Linked DNA regions of Neurospora crassa OR74A. Each later gene encodes a partner of the first gene's protein in a complex. Links are inferred from orthologs where the notes say so. Each region holds a gene or a part of one and is shown on either strand. Other genes may lie near its edges.

What was found.
Region 2: NCU06485 (region 1) and NCU04508 share a complex: the UniProt entries of both Saccharomyces cerevisiae proteins name them as parts of the RNA polymerase I (Pol I) complex. The link is inferred for Neurospora crassa OR74A from reciprocal best matches to the Saccharomyces cerevisiae genes RPA49 and RPC10.

What each region holds. Positions count from the first base shown.
Region 1 is NC_026503.1:1,576,878-1,592,867, forward strand, and holds NCU06485 (hypothetical protein), read right to left. Parts: upstream 7,835-15,990; 5' UTR 7,762-7,834; coding exon 7,608-7,761; intron 7,535-7,607; coding exon 7,209-7,534; intron 7,156-7,208; coding exon 6,325-7,155; 3' UTR 5,801-6,324; downstream 1-5,800. Other genes in the region: NCU06484 (hypothetical protein), read right to left, coding at 1-212, 269-3,370; stk-43 (serine/threonine protein kinase-43), read left to right, coding at 9,619-9,682, 9,785-10,143, 10,210-10,404, 10,458-10,504, 10,559-10,846, 10,922-12,017. UniProt on the Saccharomyces cerevisiae protein: DNA-dependent RNA polymerases catalyze the transcription of DNA into RNA using the four ribonucleoside triphosphates as substrates. Component of RNA polymerase I (Pol I) which synthesizes ribosomal RNA precursors.
Region 2 is NC_026504.1:3,135,723-3,150,969, forward strand, and holds NCU04508 (hypothetical protein), read left to right. Parts: upstream 1-6,392; 5' UTR 6,393-6,723; coding exon 6,724-6,926; intron 6,927-7,013; coding exon 7,014-7,038; 3' UTR 7,039-7,482; downstream 7,483-15,247. Other genes in the region: NCU04511 (bud site selection protein 7), read left to right, coding at 545-567, 663-789, 861-991, 1,051-1,331, 1,391-2,364, 2,430-2,969; gcy-3 (aldose reductase), read left to right, coding at 3,765-3,856, 3,936-4,422, 4,498-4,899; NCU04509 (HIT domain-containing protein), read right to left, coding at 5,059-5,763; NCU04507 (ATP binding protein), read right to left, coding at 7,629-8,755, 8,831-8,903; NCU04506 (hypothetical protein), read left to right, coding at 10,421-11,689; NCU04505 (cell cycle control protein cwf19), read left to right, coding at 12,870-15,143. UniProt on the Saccharomyces cerevisiae protein: DNA-dependent RNA polymerases catalyze the transcription of DNA into RNA using the four ribonucleoside triphosphates as substrates.

The DNA.
Region 1 (15,990 bases):
ATCTCGGGGGGGAGCAGGTCAGGCATCGACTCCGCTGTGCCGAATACAAGAACAGGATCGGTCGGCGATATCTGTCGAAGCATCGTCGTGAATGTCGTCAGGGTAGCATAGCCAAGGGTTGTCCACCAAGCGTCCACATTGGGAATAAAGATTACACTGGGCTTGTGACGTCTGACCTCGGTGAAGAGGCTCACAATGACTTGTTCAGGGGGCTAGATTTCATCACATCAGTCAATATGTCACAAAGTGTGGACGGTTGAAAACTTACCCTCGAATCATTCAGTAGAACAGGCAGACCAAAATCCTGAACATGAACACTTTCCAAGTAATGCAAAACAGCCTTCGACAGGTAACCGTGTCCCATGCCCGCCCCTCCACAGAGGAGCAAGCGAGGGCGATAGACACGCGACCGCTGGAAGTCCTGACTCATCTGCTCCCTCTCGAACCCGCCATCGAGATCCTTATACGGCTCAAACATGGCCTCCTCCAGCGCGGTGGTCTTCTTTGATCGAGGCAGAATCTTATCCAACTGCGCAACGAGAGCCTCAAATTGCTTCTCCAGAAGTGGCTTGACCATTTTGGGGATGGTCATGGCGCTGGATGACGCCGAACGCTCAGACGAGGGCACCATCTTCTTGATAGAGTGCATGAAATCTGACGCCTGAATGCTGATCTTCTGAGGATTGACCACAAGCTTTTCCTTGGATGTATAGATCTGGGGATACGTTCTCTGAATGGCATTCAGAGCCGCCTCGGTGCAAAGGGCACGGAGATCGGCACCGCCATATCCCTTGGTGAATTCGGCCAACTGGTCTTTGAACTCGTTCGACAAACCCCAGTCCTTAGTGTGAATCTCGAGAATCGATCGCCTTCCTTCGATGTCGGGAAGGGGGAAGTAGAATTCTCGATCGAAACGGCCGGGGCGACGCAAAGCAGGGTCGATGTTGTCAGGGCGGTTAGTGGCACCGATGACAATTACTTGTCCACGACCGTCCATGCCATCCATCAACGCCAGCAGGGTAGAGACAATGCTTGCATGGATCTGCTCCTGCTTGCTGGATCGCACAGGGGCAAGACCATCGATCTCATCGAAGAAGATGATACTGGGTTGCGTCCTCCGAGCTTCCTCGAAGAGCAACCGCAGCTGCTTCTCTGCCTCACCAACCCACTTGCTGAGAGCGTCAGCTCCTTTGCGCATGTAGAAGCTGATCTTGCGGCCTCCGGAGCCGACCGAGTTGGCCAAGGCTCTGGCGAGGAGAGTTTTACCGGTACCGGGCGGACCGTGGAAAAGAACACCTCGTGGTGGTGTAACATGAAATCTGGTGAAAAGTTCGGGATACAAAAGGGGAAGCTGAACCATCTCCTTGAGTTGGTCGATGTGGCCTTGCAAGCCTCCGACTTTGCTAAAGTCAACACTCGTATCGACGCCAAGCGGATCCGCATCCGCAAACGCCTTGAGATTCTTCACCTTTCCGACGTTAGGTGTGGCGCCTCCAATACCACCCAGGCCGTCCACATTATGGGTCTGAGCCGCAGGATTGGATAAGCCAACCGGAGGAGCGGCAGAAGTGGGCGTCATGCCAATAGGGTTCTGGCCAGGACCGGTTCGTTGCACCATCTCGTCGTCGCTGCTGTCGGAATCAACGCCGCCCGTAGCACCGGTGCCCCAAGGGCCTCCAAGCAGAGCGCCAATTCCAGCGCCACCGAAGGGACCATAGGTGGTGTTTAAAGGACGGTCCCATCCTGCATTTCCTCCGTTCCTCTTGCGGCCTCTTGCTGGCGTTGCCACAGGCTCTTCATCTTCCTCGGCCTCGAGGGCGGCCAAGTCGATCGCCGGGATAGTGTAATCAACACGCTGGGTAGTGCGACGTCTCTTGCCCGCGGGTTCCTCGTACTGAATAGAAGGTGAGCGGCGACGGCGAGTGGCAGCTCTTCGCGGCCGCGAGCGTGAGCTCTCGCGAAGCTCCTCGAGTTCTTCAGCAAGCTCCTCCCTATCCAGCTCAACTTCCTCATCACCAGAATCTTGGTTGCGGCGAGGCCTTTTGGCAGCGCGAGCACGGGTGGAACGTCCGCGAACGGGTGTAGCGGCAGACTCATCTGCACTGGAACCTTTACGTCCACTCTTTTTAACTGAAGCCTCCGAGGCATAGCATTCGTTATCGCCCGACTCCTCGCCTGGCTCAAAGTCACTACTAGGTTCAGCGAGCGACCTCTTCTTCAAGCGAGACCCACGCCTGAGGCGGCTCCTGAGTCCTTCGCCCTCTGGTTCAACTGCTGTGACAGTGGTCGTGGTCGAGGCAGCTGTGGTAGATGTGACGGCTCTAGCCCCACGAGTCCGCCTAGTAATCGGACGATCGTCTTCGTCGTCACCGTCTGCGTCTTCTGCTGCTGGCTGGCTCTCGGTCTGTGCAGGTTGTTCTTCGCTAACCTGTTGGGCAGCTCCTTCCTCGGCCACCTGTTCAGCCCTTCCCTCTTGGTGTTCGTCTGGATGGTCAGCGGGCGCATCGACCATGTTCGCCTGACCGGCCAGCTCGTCCACATCGTCAGCATTGGGTATATCCGTCTCGACCTTGAATTCGTCGTCATCTTCCTCATGCGAGGCTTCGGGAATGGGTGGAGGTTGTTGTTTCTTAACACCCTTGGAACCACGGGTAGCTCTGGTGGCGTGGGTCAAGGCTTCCGGGCTTTTACTTCTTGTTGATGCGCGGGTGACGCGGGTATGTCTTCCCGAGTTGGACAGCTCGAGCAATGGCTCGTCCGTCTCTTCCGTGCGGGCTCTCGTAGAGCGGCGGGTCGGGGGAACCATGGTTGCTGGTTCTTTGGCAGCAGCGCCACGTCTTGGTCGTTGTGAGCTTGGCTTGGCGCCTTTTTTGACACTCAGCACAACGATGCGAGACTTCTTTTTGCTGGGACTCTGTTCAGGAGACTCTATCGAAGGCACTCTATGTTCTTCGTCGGGCTCCTGGACGACGTCTTTGTCTTGGTCAGACGACTGGATCCCGTCTTCGTCTTCACTGCTTTCCCTGTACGATTGGTGTCGTGCGGCAGCCTGGCGCATCCGCCTGCCCGTAGCGTTGACAGGAGCGTCCGAGTCTTCTTCTTCTTCCTCGTCTTCCTCTTCACCGAAAGAGATGTCTTGTTCGCTGTCGCTGATATCTTCGTCGTCTTCGATGTCGGATCCTTTGTATCGGCTGTTCCGCCTGCGCGCGCCGCCAGCAGCGCCTCGGTTCTTTGGGCGGCGGGTGTTTGCTTGCTTCCTTGCACTTCGCGGGGTTCGTTGCTTTTCGGCAATGGGGTCGAAGTTTTCGTCTTCGGGATCGGATTTGTTAGGGTCGAAATCCGTGAGAAAGTCCTTTTTACGCTTAGACATAGCAGATTGTTGGTGGGGGCAAAACGGCTAGGTATAATGTGGTCCAATAAGTGCTGCAACGAATAGCTCTGAATAGGACTGGGGTTGGTGGTGGACAATAGTAGGGTGGATTCCGATGGGGTGCCTATTCCGTCCGATGGCGAGAATGGGGGCAAAAAGCTAGCGGTTGGTGAATTGTTGAGCTTGCGACTGGCTATTTCGATGCGATGTTTATTGATAACAGCTATTCAATATCTAGCAGCCTGCATGAATAAGTCGTGTTAGGTCCGTGTGTGCCGTGCAGAGCAAAACAGGATGCGTCAACAGGTCAAGGGAAGCAATGGGAAGTGGGAGCAAAGGGACGGGATGGAAAGAGGCAACTGAACAACCAGAAAAAAAGAGAGCCACATACAGATTTATGTTCTGTCTGGTATGGACCTAGGTGCCGTGGGGGGGTGAAATTGGGTCAACACTCGGTCGGCTCTCACCTTGCTGTCAGGTTGACGACTAACAGGAGGTGGGATGTACCGCTGCATCGACGGAGCACTTTAGTTCAGGTCGAAGTTGCCTTGAGGTTTGGACAGAGCAAAACCTATCCAAGGGCGCAATTGAGGTAGAGCCAGACAGAGAGTCGAAGGGCATCTAGGAGAGGCACTGGGCAGGTAGGAGGATTTGGTAGAATGCGACGACTGATGCGACGATGCTTCTTTTTTTTTTTCTTTGGGTAATGCAATATGCATACACACACACACACACGGCAGCAGACACGCACACACACGCGAACACACGCCCGGCACTAGACTAGACTGCTCGCTGGGGAGTTGAAGTCGGACTGCGGTGCCGGTCTTGGTGCCGAGCTAGTATGTTATGTAGAGGTTGTAGTAGTGAAGGGAGGCAGCAGTGTGGTGCAAATCCTCTCGCGCGCGCGCATAACTTCCCGAGAGGAGAGGACTTGAAGCAAACTCCAGTCGTTATAGTTGAAAGTCGCGAAGCTGGATGGATAAGTAGCTTCACCTCGGCGGGAGATATCGAGTGCAGTCGGTCAGATGCCGTGAATTGTAGGTAGGTTGTGCAGAAGGAAGGCAGGACGGGAGGGAGGCCAGAAGCAGGGGCAAAGACTACCTAGGACTGGCGTGAAAGAAGTGTCACTGGAGTTGAGGTGGTGAGTGAATGAGCGTGGTGAGCTGCCTGGGGTGCGGCAGACGGGAGGCAAGAAGGTGGACAGTCAGCGGTCGGTCGGTCGCGTTCGTTCCCTTCATTACCAGGTAGGTCGTTCGCGGAACTGTGAACTGGAATGAAACTGGAACTGGAAGAAAGGCGCTGGTTGGCACCGTCCTGGCCAATCAGCACGCCCAGAGACCACAAAAGCTGGTCCATGCGCTGCAGGCACCAGCCCCGGCATTGCGAATCACCTCAGAAAAAATCGCAAAGTACCCCCTGCCCCGACAATTCGCCCGTCGACCCAACTTTGACGCGTCGTGAATTGAGCACTCGTATTGTCGCTGTCACCAACACAAAATTGCAGAGAATGGCTGCTCAGATTGAAAGCAGAGACATCAGACAGCATTGGGAAAGGTGCATTGAGTGTGTAAATGCAAAATTGAAGCCGCAATTTAGAGAGCAAAATAATCTGTGGAAAATGGTCGTTGAGAGTGAGACGCGTCTCAGTTGAAGATCCCAAAAGCTCTTTAAAAGAGGCAATGTCGTCATACCATTTAAGCTGGTCGGGGTGGGTGCCGGTGAGGAAAACTGCACTGGCTCTGGTCGCTCGGTGGGGATTTTCCCCACGTGGCTTTCGAATGCGGCTCAAGCGCCTTCACTCTGCACAACGCCAAGGGGTCCAACTTAAGGGGACTGGACTGGAGCGAGGGGAAGCACAAGCAGCGGCCGGCACACGGACGATGGGATGGTCAAGGCAATGGGCCAGGGGAAACGGGGAGGACGGACAAAGTCGGGGACGCTTTGGGGAGGCACAAGGGGAAGGAACTTCATCGTGGGGTGATCGGCTTCGGCCCAGCCCTACCTACCACCGACGGCGTCTCACACCGCGGGGCGGCCAGCGGCCAGCGGCCAGCGAAAGGGGACAACGGTAGAAGGTGACGCCTGGGCGGATGCCCATCCAGGGCAGCCATATAACTACCTTTTCATCTTGTTTTCTTCTAGCCTGGCCGTCGGCTGCTCTGATATCTGCGTAGGATTTGCCGCGGACATTCTTCCTGTTACATATGTTAGCTTGACGTTCGTGGTTCTGATTTTGCACATCAACTGGCGTTAGCTGGTTCAGGTTAATGATCATCTCTGCCCCATTACTCATCTCGAAGCCCGTCATCAGTTCCCATCTTCGTTATTGGGTCCGTGCGGATATCAGTAGTAAACAAACACAAAGGGGTTGGCCAAGCGTTGAGGCACTTGAGAACCAGAACCCAGGGGGGCCAGCTTTTTGTGGGGTGACCCTTTTCCTAGATTTCAATGTCATCTCTTTGACCCCATTCAGAGCTTGATAAAGACTGAGGGACAAGCTTCCCGCCATACTTCTTATGGCCCATCAATTTCCATGACTATTCTCTACATTGTCTATACAATGATATATGCTTTCTAGCCTAGCTTTTACTGCCCGAACCACAAAATAACTGATGTATACCTCGGCAAGATGCTCAAATAGTGCGGTACAGGTCATGGCCTCCTCTCGATTAGGCGCTTGGAATTTTGATTGGCCAGCGCCTGGGTGTCGCTTGGGTGTGTCTCAACAACACACCATGGTGGTTACAGGCTGGAAGCGGCCAGACTTCCAACTGAGCTGGATGATCGCTTCTCTCGCAAAAAGCATGCCTTTTCTCAGCACTTCGTAGGGTACTTCCAAACGTAAGCGCCAAGATGTCCAATGTAGGACTGGGTGGATGATGTGCAATGCGCACAATCCAACTAAACTTGATGATATGATCCGTGGCCGTGGGTCCGGCTCAGCAAAGCGTGGTTTACCTCTTCCGTGCCGGCAGTCTGATCTTGGGAAACTGAAGAGGCAGTTGCAGGACGGCAAAGTTCTCCATCTTGTCAGCGACCTTCTGTTGCTTGACGCGAGCTCCAATCTCGATAAAGTATTGGTTGAGCTGCTTCTGCTCCAGCTTCAGATCTTCTCTCAAGTCAATCGTGTTGACCCTGAAGCCGTCGATGATGGCGGCAAATGCGCAGCAGTGCGTCATCAGAAGGTCAACGTGTGTCTTGCGCATGACTCCGCCGTCCGAGAACTTGCGGCGGATGTTTTCAATCACGATCTCGGGCGCTGGTGCCATAACCTCGCGCAGCTTATCCCTCTTACCAATGCTTCTTGTGCCACGCTCCCTTCCTTGCGAGGTGGCATTCCAGAAAATGATGACGAACAAGAGGTACCGCAGTACCCTCAATCTGTGCACCGCGTCGTCGCTGCTTGCTACGTTGGAAACGCGCTTGGCGACAAAGCGCGAAGGTACCTGGATGTCTTCTAGGTTCTTGACGCTCTCCTGCCAATCCATCACTGGTATCGCGTTCAGGACCTCGGATCCGATAATTTGGGATGGTACGTAGACGTCTGCGATTTCATCGGCATTGAAGTTGCCGCGCGGTACCGGTCGGGCGTTGTCGACAGCGGCTTGAAGGTCTTCCTTGGTCGACATGTCCTTGGTGGCGGTCTTGATGGCGTCCATCATCACCAGCTCGCTCTGGCCAACCTTTTGAGATGTAATGGCGTTCTCCGTCACGTCGCGGATCGCCTTCTTCGCCTTCTTAGTACCGAATGCCTCGCCGAGCTCGTTCCTCATGGCCATCATTTGCTGTTGCACCGTCAGTCTGGTTTTATGCCCCTGACCACTACTTCCAGGCTTACCTGTTTCTGAGTCTTCTCTTCCATTGCCTCGTCAACCGCCTTCTGCGACCTAACTGTGCCACGGAGCACCATCTTGCGCGCCTCTACAATCTCAACCTCGGCGGTTTTGGGGTTGAAGATGCCAATGTAGTGCTTCAGGTATGGGTCGGACGAGTCTCCTGTCCTATCTTCGCGAGCTGTGTAGTCCATCGTCCGGTGGTTGGCAGAGTGCAGCAGCAACTCTTGTGCGGGCGCGCCATTCTTCTTGCGCTTCGAGGTCTTGTCGGCTGGTGTGGCGTAGGCTTGAAATTGTATGGACGAAGAGAGAGCGAGTCCCGAGGTCGCGGCTAGGAGCGCATGTTAGAGTCTTCCTCCATTGGACTTGACGGCCATGGTTTCAGCCGATCAACATGTGCTTACCCACGACCGGAGGCGCATACTGCGGCCTCTTCACAGCTCCGACATTGATGAACTTGGGCGACTTGGACGATTTCTCGGAGTCGACCTTCTTCTTCTTGATTTGGGGTGTTGTATCCTCAGCGCTCTTGCGCTTCTTGTCTGATGAGCTTCCCATGGTGGTGTTTGCGGGCTACAAAGGTGCTGGGGTAGTGTAGAGTCGTGAAGTCCCGCCAAATCAAATGGATCATGCAGCTGGAGAGTCGCTGTCTGAACTTCCGAGTGGATCCCGCAGCCAGAAAAAAATTCTGCCGCCTGCCGGGGTCCGGTATCAGTTACCGCCTTTACAATCGACACACCACATTTGATGACGACGATGCAATATGTTTGATGATTTGTGTTGAAATACTACGAAGCGCGAAATCTTCATGCTATGAAATCAATTGCTATTGGTTTGCTGTTAAATTGCTTGGAGAGATGAAGAATAGCAAGCCGCACGCGTGCTAAAACAATCAACCAGACATGGAGGGGTTCAGTCCAAGTCACAAGGCAAACCAAGGCTTGGGACGCGATTTCTATGCCCTCGTGCATGCAGGCCACTGCCTTCCCCGTCGTTGAAAATGTTCACTGATGTTGCAAAAATTGGTATTCCCTTTGTGTGCAAATGCCATGTCACCTGTTCGAGGGCAGATGACCATGTTGTCGACAGAAACAATTGATCCAAGACATGCAGTCCCGTTTGTCACAGATGCAGAGAAGTGTATCATGAAGCGAAGCGGCCTTTATTGTTGCTGCGACGGGTATCCCGAATTCGCGTCTCCAAACTAGACAGTTTGCTCCCACCGGCGTTGATCCGTAAACACCTTGTTGCTACTCAACCATGAAGTTGACAGGCAACCAGCCAATACCATATCCGCCACCAAACAGTTCCGTTCTATGTGTGCCACAGTTTGATGTGCAGCATGTCCCGAGGGGTGCATGTTCCGTAGGAACCCTGAGTTCGCCTGATCACCGCAAGGTTTCAGAGCGACCGATGTGGCGTCATTCCGCGCTGAGGGGAGGAGTCGACACCGAGCCCAAGTTGTCTAATGGCTTAGAGGATAATGTCAAGAGCTGATTGGGTCGAGTGAGGCGAGGCGTTTATTTGCTGGGATCGAGTCAGCTTATATGCTCCTGAGTGGCGATTGTAGCTGCATCAACTGTCGATGCGCCGATGGTGAAACTTACGATCTCGCTCTCATCTTTCTTCTCTTGCGCTTAAGGCGTCTCACGCGCTTCTTTCTCCACTTCGCTCTCATCTTGAACTGCTTGTATGTCAGTAGGCGGGCAAGCAAATGCTGGGGGGCGGGAGCGCGTACATCTTGGATTTAAAGATGAGTTTTGCTTGTTGGTGATGGGAAAGAGTTTCAACTTGCGAATGGAGAGGGGGAACTTTTATCTCATAGGGCTCCAGGGCAAGCAGCCCTGTGGGGTAAGTCAGGTGACGCAGGCCCAAATTGCCCAGGCCTGCCGCTCTTTGTTTGGATGCGGTCCGTGCGGGGTGCGACCTTTGCCCTAGGTGGCCCAAGCTCCCGCTGACGGACGGGAGCTTCAGCTGGACTGCATCAGAAGCTCGGCTCGGAGATCGACTCCCGTCTCGTCCTCCAACGAGCGAGCCTGCCTCCCGCTCCTACTAATGGACACTGCACTTTCACTTCACTTGCAAGCTGCACCCGTCCAGGTCAAAGGAAGGCACGACCTGTCTGCATAAAAAGATTTTCACGATAGCTGGACATGGGAAGGAGGAGTCGATCCTCAAGGCACCAACTCACTCTTCCAATCTCGTCCTGTGATCTTGAACTCTGAGTGTCGTTCCCAACCTTTACCTACTTCTACTTCTCAATACGCAAAGCCACGGTGGGCCATGAATAGTCAACACTATCTACGGACGCAAGTGACGACATCAACGCATACATGAGTGAACGTTGACATTGCCGGCTTTATCATTATCATTATCCTTTGTTTTCCGTGTCTCGGTGTTGACAGCTGGTTTGATATGTCGCAACCGCCTGTGGCAAGTGTTTCCTTCGAAGACACTAGCACTGCTCCTCCTACAAGAGGTAGGTATCTGTCATTTCCCTGAAGTGATCGTGAATACTGTGATGTATCCCTCGCTGGTCTCCTCCAACCAGTGCTCCCTAACTTTCGTGTCGCAAGTCCAGGCGGCTTTTACATCTGGCCAAACCAGACAGTCAGAATTGGTCGTGACACGGACCGAGATAATAATGACGTTGTCTTTGTCGATTCCACTGTCTCAAGAAACCACTTTGAGCTGTATTCTATCACTGTTGACGAAGAAGGTCGCCATACATCACTTGTGTTTGTGCGAGACCGACAGTCTTCCAACGGGACTCTGCTCAACAAAAAGTGCGTTGGGAAGAAGCCAGACATCACTCCGGGAAGACTACTCCAGAATGGGGATGTCATCTCCATATATCCTTACATCACTTTCAAGTTCGTTCAGCTCGAGCAGGGAACTTCGTTTTTGCGGCTCACTGCACGCCAGCGAGAGGAGCTCAAGGTACTATTGTTATCTTGGCGTGCGACGAAAATAAAACATGCCATGATCTGACTTAGCAACATCCAGCTCCTTGAGAACCGATACCTTGTGGAAGACCGCACATTAGGAAACGGTGCCCATGCTGTGGTCTACCTAGCCACAGATGTCTTGACAGGGCAGCAGGTGGCTTGCAAAGTGCACAACTTAGATAGACGGCCCCGGTCACACCAGATACTCCGTCGGATCAAGCAGGAGGCAATGCTGTTGAGCTACCTCGATCACGTAAGTCATTGAAAGGGCACGGGACGATGGATCAAGCTAACAAAAGTCGTCAGCCGAATATTCTTTCCATCAAGGCTGCCTTCGAATCAGAGCATTCGGTGTAAGACCTTCATCACGAGCAGCTAGCAGGGTTGGGCAACTAATGTATCTCTAGGTATATCTTTACAGAGCTGGCTACTGGTGGCGATCTCTTCTCACTTCTATCACGCGAGGGGGCACTCCCCGAGCTAGAAATACGCTGGATCATACGCCAGACCCTCAATGCTGTTGACTACATCCACAACAAGGGGGTCGCACATCGAGACATCAAGCCAGAGAATATTCTCTGTGCCATAGCGCCAAATGTCTCCTACAGGCTTGTTCTCTCCGATTTTGGGGACTCGGCTGTTACGAACCGTGGAAGATTAAGGTCCGAGGTTGGAACAACCTTCTATCGCGCCCCGTGAGTTTCGCACTTCCCCTCCTGGGTTGACATATGTCACTGGATTGTTGAGAGCAATGCTAACGCTTGATTCAGCGAATGCTATAACTCCGAGCGAGGTCATTCATTGTCTGTCGACATCTGGTCCATTGGGATGCTTTGCCTTCAGCTTTTCTCTGGATTCCAAGAACTTCCGAATCTTCGTCATCTCGATTTTACCAGCCAAGACAGAATCGACCGCTACCTCAACATCATCCTCAATGACCTCGGCTGTGACATTGCTGTTCAAGATGGCGATGAAGACTACGGCAATGACAATGAGCCCATTGACCCTCAAACCTCCCGCCTCCGTCCAGATGAAAACATCTCAAGCCATGCAAAGGACTTCATTCGCGGATGTCTCACCTACAACAGCAAACACCGGCTCACGGCGCGCCAAGCTCTTACTCATCCCTGGATATGCGAGCCCGAGGAAGATGACAGTCTCTTCAGACGTCTTGAAGGCGATAATGCAGCTTCGTGGGAGCCTAGGAAGATTCGGCTCGCTCCTTTCATCGAAAAGCTCGATGCGACCACTGATGCGCATAATGGGAATGGAGAACAAGAACTTGGTACGGCGGCAGAGCCTATGGGGGAGGAGGAGGAAGAAGACGAAGACGCCAGTGCTAAGATTTCGCCACACTTTCAGAGGGACCCGACTCCTTTCCTTTCGTGTCACACCTTATCATCAGCCCATCAACAACGAGAAGAGGAAGACACAGATCACCCACTAAGCGCCAAAAGCTGGTTTTCATCTCCGCTGACAGTTCAAACCCGGCGGACTAGTCAAAGACCACAACACCAGCCAGGTTTGTGGATTGACTCTGACCCATCGCATCCCTCCGAGGACGAAGGATGGGGGGCCGGCGGTATCAGAGCACATCGTCCCCCTCTACCCTCATTCACGTTTACTCCACCATCGCCAGACTTGCCAGAACTTTCTTCTTCGCCCTTGGCGCCACTTTCACAAGAATCAATTATCCATGGCAAAGTGAACAGCAACCAGCACAGCGACGAGCGTCCAAAGGAAGATGCATCGATGACTGAACCGTCCGCAACCGCAGCAACTTTAGCTCATCTGCGAGAGGCAGAGAAAAGACGGAACGAGTTCAAGCTGACTGACTGCAAACGACGGAGGACTTGTCCAGTCTGACCGCCGACCGCCGATAACATGTTCAGTATCCAGGCATTTGACTGACGACCCATGATACTTCTGTAACTGTGTGATGGCGCTTATTGACATAGTAGGGACTAAGCTTCATGTTAGCATATGTGTGATAGATATCCATGTGGCTTTCGTCAAGTTAGGCACTTGATGCGATGTGGATTGATGTGTTTTTCCCCAAGTCGTTTGTACGTTGTCGAAGGATGGATGATGACCCGGCGGTGCGGGGATGTGCGTTTCAGTTGAATTGAGGCTGAGTCCTAACGACATCATGCGGCCTGGTTAGGCACTTGTCAGCCATTCATCCATTCATCCACATCTCTGAGGCACAAGCATGCTATCCGAGAGGGGAAAAGGAACGAGACTTCTTGAGATATGGCTCGGTGGCTTGCCAGCGTTTGACGGTCGAGGCAATACACGCCCGTGATGTAATATCTCAAAACTAACGTGCGGAAATCAACGAGCCTTGCCTCAAACATAGGTAGAACCGATGTCTGGGAAGCATGATGCAATGTCACAAACCCAATCTTGTCGTCCTAGGTGCCCAAAGAGAAGACATCCAAAGAAACGGAGGAACTTGCATTGAATCAGCACGTGTTGCTAAGGTCTAGCCGCTCCCCACATTCATGAGTTTACGAAAGCGGCCTCGTCAACTGGTCATCGGCATTTCTTGCGTCTTTTTCCTATCCAGACGCGAGCGCTAACCTCGCCACAACCGCTTGGACCGAAAATCGTCAAGTCGTTAGTCACTAACACGGAAAATGATCACTTATATACATATTACATGTACATGATAATGGATGGTGATATCTGCCATTGGACGATGGTTATATTGTTGAGCCGGTATCACCAGATAAGGGATTGTTATTAATATTCCCCCTTCAGTGTCCAACCGTCATGCCGTCGTTCGAATCCCGAATGAACTGAATCGTTGACGAGAACTGGACGGGGAAGCTCCTCACCGGGCTGCTTCCCGTGCCGGTCCCCAGCGGTCCCCAGCGGTCCCATGAGGTGATCCGCTATGGAATGATTGACCCGCATATCCACTCACCCACAAAGTGACCCGCTCCGACAACGACGAAGTGGAGACATGCATACAAGGCCAATCGGCATCGGGACAAGGGGGGGACTGGGGCTCTCTTGTCACCCTCTCCACATTCTTCTGGGATCTTGCGAAGTCGAGATTGGGGCTCAACCTTGGCAACTTTGAGGGACTGCATGTTCGAACTGTGTATGTCTTCACAAGTGGAAGTTCCCATGATTTTGAACCATGACCCCTCCCCGAGCCCCGGCCGAAGCGGAAACCTCGGCAGCCGCTCTGACGATGAAGGATAATGACCGTACACAACACTACTGTGCGGTAACTTCTCTCGAGCATACCTATCAAAGCGAGTGACGGATATAGGCGGCTCAGCTTGTGTCGCGACGACAGTAAACTCATTTCAGGTGGGTGGTCTCAAGCAATTGGAAGCTGGTCAAGTTTAGTCATGGACGGTCGCGCGAGTGCGGACTCATTAGAGTAATTTTATCGTCAATTCCGGCAAAGTTTCAAGAATATCACTTGTATTGTGTGCTCTCTTTACCTGCGTCCGTATGACCAGGTACTAGGGAGGGTGTCGCTTTATTCATTGCCCGATATTTTGGGTCCAGTCTTTTAGTGTAGAATATTGGTTTGAGAAGTGTCGGCATTGCCATGGTAGAGGGATAGAGGGATGGAGAGTTGCCAAATCAGAGAGGGTGAATCGAGTGCCAATCTGAGAGCTCTGGGCGTAATTGTCCGATTTGTGCAACCTAAAGGCAGCCCGAAGTGGAAGCTTTGCGACCGCTGCATGTCTTTACTGGAGCGGACGGGATCCCACTCATCATCCCTATCGCAAGGAAGAAGAAAGAGGCTCATCCTCGCACGCGGCATCCTCGCATCCATCTCCCCGCCCTTGAGAGCTTTTTGGGGGAAATCGGCCGGCATGAAATCGGACGTCCTGCTTCAGCATAGTGGGGTCATGAGATTACAGTACCTCCCGGCCGTGTGTTGAACTTGGTTGAACCGCTGGGTTTCGTGCGTACTCTAGTCTCTTTGTCATAGTAGCACCTGTACTGGTTTTTTATTGTTTTCATTTTCCAGTCATCAAGGTTCTTGGTTTATTGAGCCGAGTGAAACGCTTTAGCTCAATGAGGGAGGGGGGAAAATAGGGCGACATGGAAAAGCGTTGAGATGAATCAATCTTGTGATGCAGTAACCTTGAAACATTGAAACAGAGAGAAGGTGACATTGGGAGTCAAAAGGGCATCAACAAGTCCCCACATACTATTAGTCGTTAGGTCCTCCCCCCCACTCACTCACATCATCATTGCCGTCGTCCCTCTTTGCTTTATCAAACCGCAAGTGTGGATGCTGCTGCGATGGTGAATTGTGGATCTCAACTTTCCTCCTGAAAGCGGAGACGTTGACGGTCACTTTGGACACTATCGACGAGTTCCCATTTTTGGCATTGCCGATGTCCACTGGGTGCCAGCTTTCTGCCCCCTTTGTCCCTCAATTCCAGCCACACAGCACCGCATTAATTATAATTATAGCTACAGTGACAACTGTGGTCGACATGTACGGTCCTCTCAGTTTCCAGACTTGTGGCACTGCCCCTGGCAACTGTGACAGCGCTGCACTCGGTCGGTGCCAATCTGCCAATCCCATGGAACCGTGACCTTTTCCAAGTTTGTCGAGACGTGGCTCCTTGGTAGTAGGTAAGGTAGGTAGGTAGGTGCATTGCCATGTATGTATGTAGGTTAGTAGGTATGTAGAAGCTGCGACGTGCCAGCCCAGCCAGGACGGAGCCAGCCAGCCAGCCAGCCATCTCTTTCGCATGTCGTTCCCATCTAAACGTTCAGGCGCCGCCGCATGGACGGACAGGCGGGATCGGGATCCTCACGGAAAAAGGAGCCTCACAAGTCCCGCCGTCACCACCCCTCATCCACTCTCTCGGTGCTGTGCCTCCTTCCGTTCCAGCTTTGGAATCGCACGAACCGGCGGACGGACAGATGGCACCCACAATGTTGCAACTGCTCACCACCTGTTCACCTGTTCTTCTTTCTCTAGCACGGCAATACCCCCAAGAGGAGTCGCAAAACGAAAGCGAGGAGCTTCCTTGGAGCGAACAGAGATACCGACAGGACATTCCAAACCGAAACCCGAGTCGGACCGTGCCAATATCGAGAGGCATACTGGCATAATCCGTCGGCCATCCCCATCAAACCCAACTTTTGCAGCGCAAGTTGCTGGAGACGACTTGAAGTCCATCGGAACTCGCCGCATCTTCCTTCCGTCTCTTTGCTTGCAATACTACCTATCATCGGGCTGGTCTACATACTGCGCACCTACCATAAGCATTGTTCACTGGCCTCTAGAGATTCTGGTCGAGTCCTGTAACGCCGCGGGTCTGAGGGTCGTATATCGCCGTCCTCGGCAACTAGAAAAGGAATCTTATATGTCTCAGGCTGAGAGAGAGAGACAGACCTTGGCACTCTTGAATGAGACCCCTGATCATTTCCATGCCTTGGGCCTCGATTTCCCTAGCACATTATCGGCGGGAGCTGTGCTAAACGAGCCGAACGAACCACAGCTCTCAGCTGTCACGGTGCCCAGGCGTGTTTCCATACTCCAACTGGGGCACTCCGTCCTCTCCCCCTCCCCGCCTCCACTCTTTGGCTCTGGTAGCACTCACACAGCTCTAGCAGTGGGCAGCTGCACGTCCATCGCATTAGACGGCTGCACCTTGCAACTGCCCGGGATCCCGCTCTGAAATCTGATTTCCCCGGGCTGGCCTCTTCATTTACACCCTTGCAACAACCCTACCTTCCATCTTCCTCCGTCCAGGTTGGTGGCTGTCACTGCCCTGCCTTGCGGCTTAAACCGTTAACGATCCCCCATCCCATCCGCCCCAATCTTCGATCCTCCACTACCTCGCTG
Region 2 (15,247 bases), on another chromosome or scaffold:
GCCCGGCGGTGCATGAGATGTGGATGGCAGGGATGGACGTGTACGGTGGCCTGTGCTCTTTCAAGCTGCCTGCCCGCCTGCCCCTGTTTTCCATTGTTGCGATGACGGACAGCCAGACACGCAGGCAGCCCAGGGTGAGCTGGAGAGCTCGAGCTCCTGCCGTAGGGGTAGGTGGGCTGAGCTTCCATGTGCTGGCGGTAGTGTACATGTACTGCTGGCTTTAATGGGCCGGGCCCGAAGCCAGGAGGAGTATCCCCCACCCGCTGCCCGCCGCCCTTGGAAGACAAGCACCAATCCACGAACACCTCAACTCAAAACAGCTGTGAATAGGCTGAACCATCAAGTCGACGATCCCTCTTTTCGGTCAATCAACTCCCCGTTTTTGTCCCGACCTTGGATGACAAACAGGGCGGCTGACTGTTGGCGACACGACAAATTGCGACAACACAGGCAATTGCGCCTCCAGTTTCCCTGCTCTCTGTTCTAACCACTGTAAACCAACCATCAACATCCCGCCGCAGCCTGGCGGTCCATCGCCCTCACCATGGTTGCGCCAGCTGTCCCCGAGTTCGTGATTCCCGTTTAGAGTTACAGTCCACCCTTTGTCTTGGGTCCTTCAACCAAGCGCACCTAGGCCGAAGCTAATGTTGGATTGCACGCAGGATCACCGAAGAGATACTGCATGAAGCGGTTGACACTCGTACCGAGTCTCTGAGCTCTCTCAGGGAGCTTGGCCCCCCCGATCTCGTACACCTGGTCAAGCAGCCCCTGAAGAACCCCGGAAAGCACGTACGTAACCAGTCTCTCCGACTTCATCCATATGCAACACGACAGCCATCGCTGACCTGCGCATCCATCAGTATGGTGTCTATCACCATGTCACCGGCGTCGACGCGTCCTCCTCGGCCAGTCTGGCTGCTTACATCAACACCCTGACCTACAAGGAGTTCGGCAATTCCGCCACTGCCAAAACCGTCGAAGGAACTTATTGGTAATACCACTCTTTGACCGACTGCGTTCTGGGCTATTCCTAACAATCGCTCGTTCCAGCTGTTACAATGCCTTCTCCCGCGTCGACATGCGCGTACACGCTCCCTTCCCCGGCTCCGTAGAGAGTTATTGCGTTGACGAGCGGGGCGAAAAACGAAAGGCAACCGACGAACTCTGGCTCGAAACATACCTCTGCAGTGTTCTCCGCGCATACTCGTATGCCGACGATGGAAGCGGCGAGACAATCAGAAAGATCATGGGCGTCCGGCGTTTCAACCCCGTTTCCAGTACCGAGACCGAACACAAATTCCTCAGCGCTGCCGAGCAGCTCTTCTTCAGGGGTACCACTCCCCAGCTGTTCACCCTGCGTACAAGCGATTTACTGACTCTCCTATAATAGGCTGGCAACTTGGGTCCGACTCCGTGGTGCAGGTGCCAAACAATGTCTCTAACCACTTGACAGCCGGCCTCCTAAAGTATTTCTCCACAACAGGACGCCACACTTCCGGTATCAATCTCTTTGAGAAGCTTCGGTCGCAAAACGTTGAAGTGGCTTCGCTCTTGGCAAAAGTGCTCTTCATGGGAAACGAGGAGGTGCAAGGAGTCCGTGTTTTGTACGAGGCCCTCAAGGAATCGCCCATGGATTACGTTATGCTTGATACCCAGGCCGAATTCCTTCTCAAAAAGGCCGAAACTGCCCCAACGCCAGAGCTGAGGGAGGAAAGACTACGCATGGCTCTGGGCTGTGCAGACCGAAGTACGATAGCCGCTCCTAGTGAGTTCGGCACGTGGGCAAGACTGGCCCAGGTCTATGTTGCAATGGAGGATTGGGAGAATGCCTTGACCATCCTCAACTCGTGTCCCATGTTCACATACCAGGACAAGGATGCGCCTGTCATGCCAGAACCCAAAGACGTTAACCTACCGACCCTCCCAGAGACCAGGTTGGACGAAATCGACAGCGAGCCAGATTCGAGGTTTTCGGAGCAGGTCGACCCAAGTTTGCTTGGTCTTCGCGCCGCTGCGTATCGGGGAACGTTCAAGCAGGCATACAGCATTCTCACCGAGATGACTGCCAAGATTGGCTGGGATCAACTTCTCAAGATCAGAAGCAACGTTTTTGTTATGGAAGACGAGTATCGAAACGAGAAGCAGGAGCCCTCTTACCCTGCCAAGCGCAATGCTAGCACCGATGCGCTGCGTGGAAGCCCGGATCATACTACGAACGGCGAAACCGCTCCCAAGGAGGCTGCCGAAACTGACGAGGTTGAGGACGAAAAGAAGAATGCTACTTTGGCTGCTGAGCAAACGGAAGGCCTGGAGAGACCTCCTAGCGCTATCGACCCAGAGGTAGTCCGCAAGGCCGAAGAAAACGTACGTCTCCAAGCCGATGCTTCCCTTTGGCAGTTTACTATGGACACGATGCTAACACATGATAGGGTGATAACGAGGATCACTTCTCGCGCCTCAACAACAAGCGTCTATGTGAACGGTGGTTAGACAGCTTGTTCATGGTTCTTTACGAAGATCTTCGCGTATATACCATTTGGCGCACCCAGATGGCTCAGTACAGAGCGCAGAGTATGCAGTACAAAAAGTCGGCGGAAGAGTGGGAGATTCTCGGCAGTCTCGCAGAACGCCTACAGCATACGGACGAAGCGGTTGAGGCATACCGGGCGTGCTTGGGTCAACGCTTCAGCCCCAAGGCGCTCACCGGTATTCTCAAGGTGTTTGAGAAGCAAAAGAGCACACGCGAGAGTGTCGCCGCTCTCATCAGGTTGGTAACTTGGCAGTATCGGTGGTACAGCGAATTCTCACCCGAGCTACTACATACCATCCGGACACTCATCGAGGACGAGGGTGCTGTGAAGGTCAGGAGTATCATCCAGGCGACCAACCTGCCACAGAACGTGCTGGACTTGACGCATCACTATGCGGCGTTGTGTGCTACTTTCCGCAGCAGCGGGACCGACGGCTAGGTTGCTGGGGTTTGATATTGGGGTGCTGTTGATGAAGTGATGGCTGAGAGACGACCATGGCCGTTTACATGGTATGGACGTATACATGATGCCTATGCGTATGGAGAGCAGTCGCGGAGTTGTTCGTATGATAGCGAGTTTTATCATTAATAGAGAATTTGAGCGGCCTGATGAGATATGATAAGCATTGAAAGTTCCAGTTGATGCTATCTAGACTCCTAAGTATAGAGTCTTAGGTCTGTGGACTGTCGAGTGGCGGGAAGACCCCGGCTTATAGCGATCCCCGTTTTGACTCCGGGGCGATTCCCAGCCCCGGTCATCGGGCCGGGCTACCCGTCCTTCCCGTCTTAGCTATGACGGGACCTGCGCCAGTTGTCCCCAATCCGCTCCACAGAGCGGCGTCCCCCCACCATTTGGAGTTTGGCCCCCCAGTTTGCGCTCCGACCTTGGAACCTGCAGGAACTTGGAACTTGCATAAAGCTAGGTTGCTCTTCTTTGTTATCCCCGGAGGTGCGGGGCTATGGTACCTTATGGTTGCCATCAACGTCATCACATATGTAGAAGCGTGGGATAGAGAGCCACAATCCGTCAAAGGCAGTTCGTACAGTAATACAAACAGGCACCAGAATGATGGAGAAGATTACATTGGAACGGATAGGAATCGGCTCTCCACCGTTCGTGGGAGGAGAAAGTGGGGGTTGACTAAGAGATGGGGCTCCAAGCCTTATAAATCATGTTGAACTGCCCTTCCAGTCGTCGTTGATTCTCAATCATTCAAACTTTCTGTTGTCTTTCATGTTGCCTGTCTCACGCGCAATTCCCAGAATACCAAACATCACAAACACCGCCAGATATTTCTTCAGTAAAACAAACACCATGGCTCCTCTGTAAGTACCTTTACTTTGGGGATGAAGTGCCAGGAGAAACCCCTAGAAGAAGCTCACCCGAGCTTACAACTGTCAACAGCAGCAAGACTCACAAGCTCAACACGGGCGACGAGATCCCCGCCGTTGGCCTCGGAACCTGGCAGTCCAAGCCTGGTCAGGTCGAGAAGGCCGTCGAGGCCGCCCTACGTGCCGGCTATACTCACATCGACACCGCGTATGCCTACGGCAACGAGAAGGAGGTTGGCCAAGGCATCAAGGCCTCCGGCGTCCCACGCGAGAAGATCTGGCTCACCACCAAGCTGGACAACGACTGGCACAAGCATGTCGCCGAGGCTATCGATACGTCGCTCAAGAACCTGGACACCCCCTACGTTGACCTCTACCTGATGCACTGGCCCGCCAGTCTTGTCAAGGGGAACACCAAGGAGGTGTACAACGACTGGGACTTTGTGGACACCTGGCGCGAGATGCAGAAGCTGGTTGACACCGGCAAGGTCAAGAACATTGGTGTCAGCAACTTTGGCGTCAAGAACCTGGAGAAGCTTTTGAGCGCCGAGAGCACCAAGGTAAGCAAGATTGTGCTCCTCCTCCTCTTCAAGTTTTGTTGTGAATTGATGAGGACCTCACACATATAATTACAGATTGTTCCCGCCGTTAACCAGATCGAACTTCATCCTGGTAACCCGTCCCCCCACCTTGTCGAGTATCTGCGCTCGAAGGGCATTCATGCTTCGGCCTATTCGCCCCTCGGTAGCAGCGACTCGCCGCTTTACAAGCTTAACAGCCTCACCAAGCTCGCCGAGTCCAAGGGCAAGACTGTGCAGCAGGTTCTCCTTAGATGGGGTGTCCAGAAGGGCTGGAGTGTGCTGCCTAAGAGCGTCACTGAGGAGCGTATCAAGGCCAACATTGATCTCGAGGGCTGGAGCTTGACCGATGAGGAGATTGCTCAGATTGATGAGGTTCACAAGGAGAACAGCTTCAAGGTCTGCGGCGATGACTGGTTGCCTGTCAAGATCTTCTTCGGTGCTGGCGACAGCGACTAAGCGTCGTACACCGTGCAGCCAAGAGGATGCTGGCAAGATATTCCCCCCATAGATGAACAATAATGAATAATGACACCAGAAAATGCTCGCTCGAGATTAATGACTGGCTATGCTCCGTGACCACACATCTGTGACATCCGTTCCGACCAACCCCGCTCCCTACAGCTTCGCTTTCTCCCTTAGCCCCCTCTCCCCCTCCTCCTCCTCCTCCCTAACCACCTCCGTGACAAACCCTCTCACCCTCCTCGCCAACTCCTCCCCCTCGTCCTCATCCAAATCCTCCCTTTTCCCCCTCCCAAACATGGTACTCGTAAATCTCTCAGCCTCCCTCAGCCCTGGCCTGGGAATGATATGAAAATGCATATGCTCAACAACCTGCGCCGCGGCCGACCCGTTGTTCTGGACCACGTTCCAGTCTTTGATTCCCGTCGCCCGCGTCACTGCTTCCGAGAGGATCCGTAGGTAACGCCCCAATTCGGCGGCTTCATCGGGAAGAACGTCGGTGAGTTTGGCGGCGTGCCGACGGGGGCAGAGTAAGAGATGGCCTGGGGAGAGGGGCATGATGTCGAGGAAGGCGATCAGGAGGGGGGTGGAGAGGAGGAGGAAGGTTTGTGGTTGTGGGGAGGTGGAGGTGGAGGGGGGGAAGGGAGAAGGGGGGGTGGTAGGGGGGTAGGGGGGGAAGGTCGAGGAGATGTGGCAGAAGGGACAGTTGGGTTGGGTATCGGAGGAGGATGAGGATGAGGTGTTAGTGGCGCCGGCGCCTGTCTTGGAGGCGGGAAGGCTGGGGTCGAAAGTGTTGGCGTCGGGGACGATGGAGCGTGGAACTGGTGTTGCTGGTGGCTTCTTGTCGGTTGAAGAGGCCATGGCTGCAGTCTGGCGTATGACGTAGTGATGTGTTTGAACGATTGTATATGTCGAAGAGCCCCGAGTTAAACTTGAACTGAAGAAATACTCAAGGGAAATCTCGACAAGGGCTAGGAGTGAAGCTGATCTCGCTATGTAATGATGCCGAGAATGATTGTTTGCTGAGTACGCCCCGTAACCAAGGACCAATGCGACAGAATGTCAAACAAATAATCAAGAAGAACGCCTTGCTCCGTGACAAATCCGAAAAGGAAACACCACTAATGACTCTTGTATGATGATTTCTAGCTGATGACTAAATAGTAGCTCAGTGAAGTACGGGACGAGAGGTCCGGGGCGGCATCTGAAAAGACCCCAAAGCCAAACACAAGTGAAGCACCGGGCCCGTTCCCCGTCCCTGTCTTACCTCCGCTTGCCGGCGGGCATCGACCCGGTGGTGTGCAGTGGTGAGGCGCCAGGGCTGCCGCGAACAACCTCGGCCTCCAAACTCCGCCGAAAACGTGGGGGAATTGCCTGCCGCGCTGACAGCTACCCACAGAAGAGTGGAGAATTTATCATGATATGACAGGGGTAACTTGCATTCGCAAAGTCCGAACGCCGCCTGCTTCTGTCACCCTTTGTCAAAGTCTGGAACTTTCTGCCTCAGCGTCCCGCCTTTTTTTACCTTTCGTTGTTCGCGTCCAGTTGAAACTCAGTCGCCTGTATAGGTAGCGCTCCGTCCCTCTCGTCCGTCGCAAACCACTCCACCGGTAAATATTCAACATCATCATCATCATCAACCGAACGACATCATCGTCGCATATCGCTATAAATCGCATAACATCGATTTGTCGTCGCCTCAACACAAAGACAATCTTACACGTTGCATAACCGTCATCCAATTTATCCGAGCAAACCCGACGACAAACAAACCCAAACCACAAATACCACACCACCCTCAACACAACACAAACAACCAAGATGTCTTCCCGCGAGCAATACCAGGTCCCCAACTCCCAGGGCTTCACCACCGGTGCCTCTAACAACGACGGCAACAGCGGTGGCAGCAGCGTCATGTGGTACACTTGCGGCGACTGCGCGGTCCGCGTGCCGCTCGAGAAGGGCGCTCCTATCCGTTGCCAGAAGTGCGGTGCGCGTGTTTTGTATAAGGAGCGCACCAAGAGGTACGTTTTCTTTGGGCTTACCCGGTGGAAGATTCTGAGAAGGTGGGAGAGAAAAATCTTATGCTAACGACGGTCTGGGGGTAATAGAATGGTTCAGTTCGAGGCTCGGTAAATGGTTTCTTATTCGACTTTGTTCGACTTGGGGCCAACAAAGGAGGTGTAGAAAGGGGTCGCTCTTCCTCGATGCCGTATCGGGCTGAAGTTTTCATCGTATTTGGACCGGCCGGGATGTCCTGATGCCCAAGGACGGGAGCCGAGTCAGCCTTGGAGGCAACGGGAACATTTGTCGAGGGGAGCTGGGACCGTAGGAGACTCGAACCGTCGATATCTTGGTGTGATTTTGCACCATTAGCGGTGGCTTAGCATGGCCCAGCCTTGAACCTACGGCTTGTTGTGATCAGAAGAAGGGAGATATCATATTCATCACAATATCATGATGGCGGCGTTCTGGGAAATATCGGTAGACTTGTGGGAATTTATACAAAGAAAGCATTGCTTTTCATCATCGTCATCATCACCTATCACCATCAGATGGATCCGTTCTGTGATGCTTCTCATTATTGATCATGTTTTTTGCCATATAGAATATTGGTATGGTATCACTCTGAAAACGCCGGTTGTATGCTAAATCTCCTTCCCTCTCGATCACTTGTCTTGCCAACACTGCTCCATAAATCCTTTCCTTACCAATGGCCAATCTCATCACCTCTGGCTGTGGAGGTACTTTGCAAAACTTGCGTCGGCCAAAACCGAATCATCCTCGCCCTGCATGGCAGCGGCGTACCTCGCCTGCAATCCCTCGCGGTCATACTCGTCGTTGGGATCGTCACCATATTCCTCGTCGCTGCTCTCCTCGTCCGTGCTCAACGGCTCGGGGGCCTCTTTATCATTGACGTCACCCACTGTGACGTCGCCCGCCGCGTCGCCCATCGACATTCCCTTCATCATTTTGTTGAGTTCCCTCTCCCGCGCCTTCTTCTTGTTCTCCTCCCTTTCTTCGCGCCTCCTCTCGAGCTCAGGCTGGTAATCGCGCTTGAACTCCTCTGCCTTCTCCTGAACCGCGGCAAAGAACTCGTCAATGCCCGTCCCGTACAGCGAACTGACGCCCACCACGTTCAGATGTGCGTAAAACTCCTCCAACATCAGACTCATGCTGTTCAACAGCGAGCCCATGTATCCGCTGCCCGAGCCCATGCCATCGCCGCTGCCCTCCGCTCCGCCAAACGCGTTGTTGGTCTCGTCCTCCTGCAGCGCAGCCTGGAACGCATCATAGTCGGTCATCCACTCCTTTGCAAAAGCCGGGTCCTTAACGTCCGACTTGTTGAAGACCAGAATCATGGGCAGCTTGGTCTTGTAAAGGATACTGCAGGCGTACAGCATGTTGCTCATGAAGGTCGACGTCGAGCTCGTCCGGGGGGTGTCGATGATGTAGGCGATGACGGTGGGGAAGGATGAGGCGAGCGACTCAAGGAGAATCTGGCCCGACGCGGACCAGACGAACACCTCGATCTGGCCCGGCGTGTCGACGAGAATGTGCTTGATGGGCGTGTGCGTCGGGTCGTCGGGCTTGGGCGCCGTGCGCTTCTCGAGCAGGCCGAGAACCTGGTCGACTTTGGTGGCAAAGAGGTTCAGCGATGTGAGAATGCCGCCGTTGGGGCCGAGGTTGTACTGCTTCATCACCTCCTTGTAGTTGACCGAGTCGCGGATGTCAATGTTGCTCTCGAAGGGCGAGTGGGTGACTGCTGGGTCGAGGTTGATGACATAAGGAGGCTCCTTCTTTCCGTGGAGATGGGCATTGATCTGTTGCATAAAGGTTGTCTTGCCGGATCCTGGGGAACATGGTCAGCTGGATGATTCCGCTTGCGGTTGGGAAAAGCACAGAACATGAGCATGCGTAGACCTACCTGCCATGCCAACGCAGACGATGGCAACAGGCTGGTCAGCCTTGGCGGCAGACGATGCCGAAGTCGAAGCCATGGTGCGACAGCTGTGCACGGGTGCGTGGAAGATCGTTTGGTGATCTCTGTGTTATCTGTCGGATAAAATCAAAGTTGTTGCAGATTTCAGTTTGCGCAGAGATGGTGTTGTAATGAGTCTCGGGAAGAAAGTTTCACGGATGTCGTAAGCGGCGGGGTCACTGCTGTAGGGATGGTCATAGGTGGTTGCGACGGAGTGAATGTCCGAGGGCCACAGAGGGGCAACACCGCAAGAGAAAAAAAAAAACAAAAAAAAACCAAAGTCCATTGATCGCCTGGCGTAGCGGGCGGAAAGGTTCCATCCATCAAGGCATGGGTGGGGTGAAGGGTAGGTAAGGCTTGGCATTTTGTTTTCCCCAAAGTGAAATGACTGAAACCTCGACATTGGTCTCTTTTCATCCTCTCACCCATTCATCTTCCAACTACCTACGCCTTCATGTTCCTCGACATCCAATCCATATCTGGCCGGCTCGCATCTCATCCATCATCTTTTTACCAATTTGGAACTAAATCAGTTGGCGACCTATACCCTGTTATCATGCCTATATCAAAAGCCCATATGGCCTGCTTGACAGCTTCTTGTTTTCAGCCGAGCCGCTGTTAATCCGCGAATACCACAGCCCTCAACCGCCGCAGTAGCTAGTCGACACTCGACCTAGTAACTTGGCGGTCCCGCTCTTCAAGTTATACCCCGGTATTATGGGTGCCTGGATATTTTAGGATCTCAACGGCTGGATGGCATAGCACTTGCCGCGGGCAGACAAGCCCCGAAGGCTTCATCGACCTCACAGGCTATTGTTCAATGAAGTCTGTCCACTTGTCCAGTTTCAACTAATCCTTTCACGCCTAGCAATGAAGCCGGATACGGATGCTTTTTGGACAATTCGGGGAGTCGTCGAGTGGCAATTTGATACTGCTGAACGAGACCGGGATAAGCGATGGGAGAAAAGGCGTCTCACGTCATCTTCGGAAAAGGTCAGGAACTATAGGCAGGATGCTGGCGGGGGCGATTCACCAATGCCAATGACCGCTAAACCCATGCTAAGCGTATGGTCGGTGGTCCCGCGCTGGGGAGTGGGCGCAGCCGGTGGCCTCTTATTGCGTCAAAATTCTCTTCAAAATGGTGGGTGATGGGAGCTGGGTTGGTCCAATAAGCCACAAACGTAATGGCAAGATCCGTCTGTTCGGCACTACCAGGAGGCAGCGTGGCCGGGAACCAAGCGGCCATCCACAGGCTGCCCCTCATGATACTCAGCCCTACCAACCTACCTCTACCACGTTCTATCCATTATACTCCAAGCTGACCCCCAAGATCCGTTTGAATTCTCTCCCTCCCACTTCCTCTCTTGTTTCGTCTCTCGTCCCACACCAGGGCCAGATTCATCATCCGACTTGGGCCAAATTCCAGCGACTCATCAAATCCAGGCTTCGGAGATCGGCTACTATACCCTGCCCACACCTCTATAGAGGTGAATAAACTTTCATTTATCGGTGTTACATATCTACCCACAGCATCCAATGTCCACCATGTTGCGCAAGAAGGAAGCCTTCACCGTTATCACGCCCATCCCGGGCTTCATTCCACGACAGTTGGCCATCGACATCCTTCATTCTCATTCTGAAGTCATTACTCTTAACCCTCTTGTCCTCGACCACAAGCCCATCGCGGCCCCCCAGGATGCAGAAACAGACGAGTATTATGCGACATGGTATGAGATCACCGAACGAGTCACGATTCTGCCTGGAATTGGGAGGATGGGGGCTACAACCATCAAGTTCAATGGCTGCTTTCACGACATGCCGTGGGGTCTTCAGACTCACATATACGCCCCCATGAACGTTGACCTTCGCAACACCTATCGCATCGCCGGTAATCAACCAAACTTTGAGCCTCCAGAGCCACTTGAGATGGGGTTATCAGCTCTTGGGGCACCGTCGGATGGGTTATATCTCCGTGAGGATATTGAGATCAAGTGCAGTCGCACTGTCATGAGCTTTGTCAAGTCGCAAATGAAGAAGGCGGGTGGGGAAATGGTGAGACGCATCATCAAGAAGGCTGAGTTACTGGATGCTGGCGTGCTTCAGGCTATGATCGAGGACGGAAAGCTGAAGACGTTCAACCCGGCCGACAAGAGGAATACAGTCCGACGACCGGCGGTGGCTTCTCCGGGCCCTCAGTTTTCGCCCACATTTGCCAGCTCATCGGCCTCTGGTACACCACCTCAGTCTCCCGGTATTCCCTACCAGATCCCGCGACCGCTATCTGCTACTCCCAGTCAACACCGGTCAAGTACTCCTGGATCCTACCACCGTCCTAACAGCTACGGAAAGGCACCAGCTGCTTTCGGCTATGGAACCCCGAATGGACCACAGGAGCTGTCTGTCACCAACCCTGAACCGGTCTCAAATGGTCCGATTGAGATGCCAGGCGACTTCTACCACGCCCCATCAAACCTTCAGCCTCAATCTCTGTCATCCTCCAACCGAAATTCCAGTCAGTCATACTCGTCCGACCGGCCACAAGCAAGCCCGAACCCATCATTACGCAGCGGGTTCCCGTCTCCCGCTTTGGACAAGAATTTTGGACTACAGACTCACCAGGAAACGTCCGAGGAGCACAGGGAGGAGGCTTTGAAGAAATTAGACCCGCGTATCCCGCATCCGTCTCACTACGCTCCGTATAATCCAGCGGATTACGGTCCCGTGGACCCGTTGAAAGTTCCCGGCAACCAGTATGGACACAGTCCACAGGCTCAGCAGCTGTATAAGAACACATACACAAGGTGATGGAACAGGAACGAATTTAACAGGTTTTTTTTTTTCATTTTTTTTTTCCAATGTGGCTTGACATTGGATGATAGACAGGCAGGTGGCTATATCTTGTTTTTTTTACTTGGTTCTTCAAATACCCATTCGCTTTTTTCTTTGCTATAATATGTGTACAGACTTTTGACTTTATGTGATGATGAAGACTTGGACGGGAAAAAGAGGAGTTAGCGTGCTGGTTCATTGTCAAGGCACTTGAAGGTTCGATAAGATCAATGTAATTCTTCACTTTGCAGGCGCCAAGTTGAGAGAGCATTGTCCCGTAGGCCTAACCAAATATCCTCTGCAGCACTTCCAGGCAGCAAGACTTAAATTAGTGTCACACCCATTCATCACAGTATGTGCGTGATGTGCTATGGTGGAATATCAAATGCAACTGCATACTTGACTGCCAAACATTCTCTTGCTAAAGTTACTCTTCCTCTTCTCTCCCGAACGCAATCATTGTACCGATGGTTGTTAAGAATCGAAATCGAGATGATTCTTGAGCCTATATCAACTCGGAAGACGGGTGTATAAAGATGATCTGGGAGCATTATCATAGTTGGCAGCACAAAGACTGGACTTTCGATTCTTCCTATCCATCGGAGGGTTATCAGTCATCAACACTCTGAAAACTGCAAACGGCTTTCCGTGCAGCTAAGCTTAGGCTTCGTTTGAATATCTTCCCGTTGATATCACATAAAGTGTGCCAGCGGCTACCGTTTTGCTGCTGTGTCGTACAGTCAGTGGTGAGGGTGGCTCAAGACATTACACATCTAGTACCGGTGGTAAACGGTAGAAGTCTAAAAGTGAAATGACCAAGCTATGCAACAGGATGTTGATAACGTTGACGTATAGTAAGAGGACCACTACCGTGGCCATGTGGATAATCTCATGCATCTTTACCTCAATAAAAGGTTCAATGCTTGTTGGGTAGATGGTTATCGTGGGATCAGATCGAAGTGAGGTTGCTGATAAAGATATGGAATGGAATATTACCTCTTGCGGTTAGTGTAAGCAGCAATTGGCGCTTTTGAGTATCCCGCTAAAATACGTCACTCCACTGCAGCATCCTCCATAAACCATCAACCGATCAAACTTGTCATGCAGTAGCCTCGACTGAACAACAACCGATTGCCCACAATCGGAATCTGCCAACATGGACAGCTTGGAAGACTTTGAGAAGCAGCTCGCTGCGGAAAGGGAGGAGCGCGAGCGCGCAAAGGAAAAGGAACAACGGCGCAAGCACAAACATCATCATCATCATCGCCGCGACAGATCATCAGACCGCGACCGCGACCGAGCTGGGAATAGGGACAAGGATACAGAGAGAGACAAAGACAGACACAGAGATAGGGACAGTGACCGCCACCGATCACATCGATCTCGAGACGACCACGACGAGGAAGATGACAAGGATGGACACCGACACAAGCGATCGCGCCATTCGCGTCACGACGACCACCACGAAGAGGAATCGCGGCACCGGCACAGACACAGGGATCGGTCGGGTGATAGGTACAGTGAAAGGGACAGGGAGCATAGAAGTGACCGCAGGCGTAGCACTAAGGACACGAAAGACCTCAAACCGACAGACGCCAAAGAGGACCTCCCCTTGCCGGACGAGGAGAAGGCCCCAATGGACGTGGACAAACCAGCGCTTGTTCGCGACTCTTGGATGACAGCACCATCTGCGATAGATGTCGATTACGTTCAACGAGGCAGGAAGAGGAGCCCATCGCCCAAAAAGGAAGAGCCGAAACGGGTACTACACGCGAGGGAGGTTAATAGGGGATTAGCCGAGATGGAAAACTGGTCCATGCCGGTTGAGCGAGGTGTTGAGAGAGGGCAGGAACCTCCACGGAAGCGAGAAGTCAACTACACATTTGGTGACGAAGGGTCGCAATGGCGAATGACCAAGCTAAAGGCAGTTTACACGACGGCGGAGCAGACGGGCAAGACAGTCGAGGAGGTTGCTCTTGAGCGTTTTGGAAGCCTGGAAGAATTCGACGAGGCCAGAGAAGAGAAGATCGAGGTGGACAGGAGGAAGCTGTACGGTGAGGGCTACGCTGGCAAAGAGAAGCCAACAGGCGAGTTATACGAAGAACGTGTGGCAAAGATGCGTTCCCAGCGACCCGAATCGCCAGACCGCGAAGAATCATCACCGCCCGCACAAGGTGTCATCATCGAGGATCAACTACAAAAAGCGCCTCCCATCGACCAATCGACCCTCAACCGCATGCGCGCCGCCCTTATGAAGGCCAAGCTTCGCAAGGCCCCAGAGGCCGCCAAGCTCGAGGAGGAGTACAACGCCGCCATGGCCGCATTCCAAGCCGGCAATGCCTTCCAAGCAGGTAGCGTGTCCGGCGCCGCCGTCGTCCTCGACGCCTCGCACAACCGCATGTTAGCTGGTCCGCGCGGCGAAGTCGTAGCCGTGACCAACACCAAGCGGGGCCGCGAGCGGGGCACTGTCGTCGAAAACGAAGACATGAGCATCGACGACATGGTACGCGAAGAACGGCGCACGCGCGGCCAAGCCGGCGGCGAAGGTCTTCGTCTAGCCGAGCGCATCGCCAAAGACGCCAAATTCGACGACGACCTCGAGTACCTGGACGAAAACGCGGCCAAGCTGGCCAAGCGCGTGCACAAGAACGAGGCCTCGCTCAAGAACGTAGCCGTGGCCGAGTACAGGAAACTCAACCGCATCCTCGACACCTGTCCGCTGTGCCACCACGAAGAGCAGGTCCCTCCCAAGAACCTGCCGGTCGCACCCATCATCTCCCTCGCCACTCGCGTCTACCTAACCCTCCCGACTTCCCCCGAACTAACGGGTGCCGAAGGCGGCGCCTTGATCGTCCCCATCAGCCACCGCACCAACCTGCTCGAGTGCGACGACGACGAGTGGGAAGAAATCCGCAATTTCCAAAAGTCGCTCACGCGCCTCTACCACGAACAGGGGCGCGAGGTGCTCTTTTACGAGAACGCCGCCGCTCCCGGGAGGAGACTACACGCCGCCATGATGGCCGTCCCCATCCCCTGGGACCTGGGCGACACCGCGCCCGCCTTCTTCCGGGAAGCGATGCTCTCGGCCGACGACGAGTGGGCGCAGCATAAGAAGGTGATCGATACGGGCAAGGCGGCGCGCGAGGGCGGCATGGGAAAACTGGCGTTTAGGAGGAGTATTGCCAAGGAGATGCCGTATTTTCATGTGTGGTTTAATCTGGATGGGGGGTTGGGCCATGTGGTGGAGAACTCGGAGCGGTGGCCGAGGGGCGATTTGTTTGCGAGGGAAATCATTGGCGGAATGTTGGATTCTGAGCCGGATGTTATCAAGAGGCAGGGGAGGTGGTCGAGGAGTGATGAGAGGGTCGATGGGTTCAAGAAGAGATGGAGGAAGTTTGACTGGACGAGAGTGCTTACTGAGGGGGCTTGATATGCATTTCGGTGGTTACGATTGTTATCGTCCGTCCTAATTAGAGTTTAGGATAGCGATATCAAGTCAACCTTCCATATTATGACTAAATATACATAGCGTTT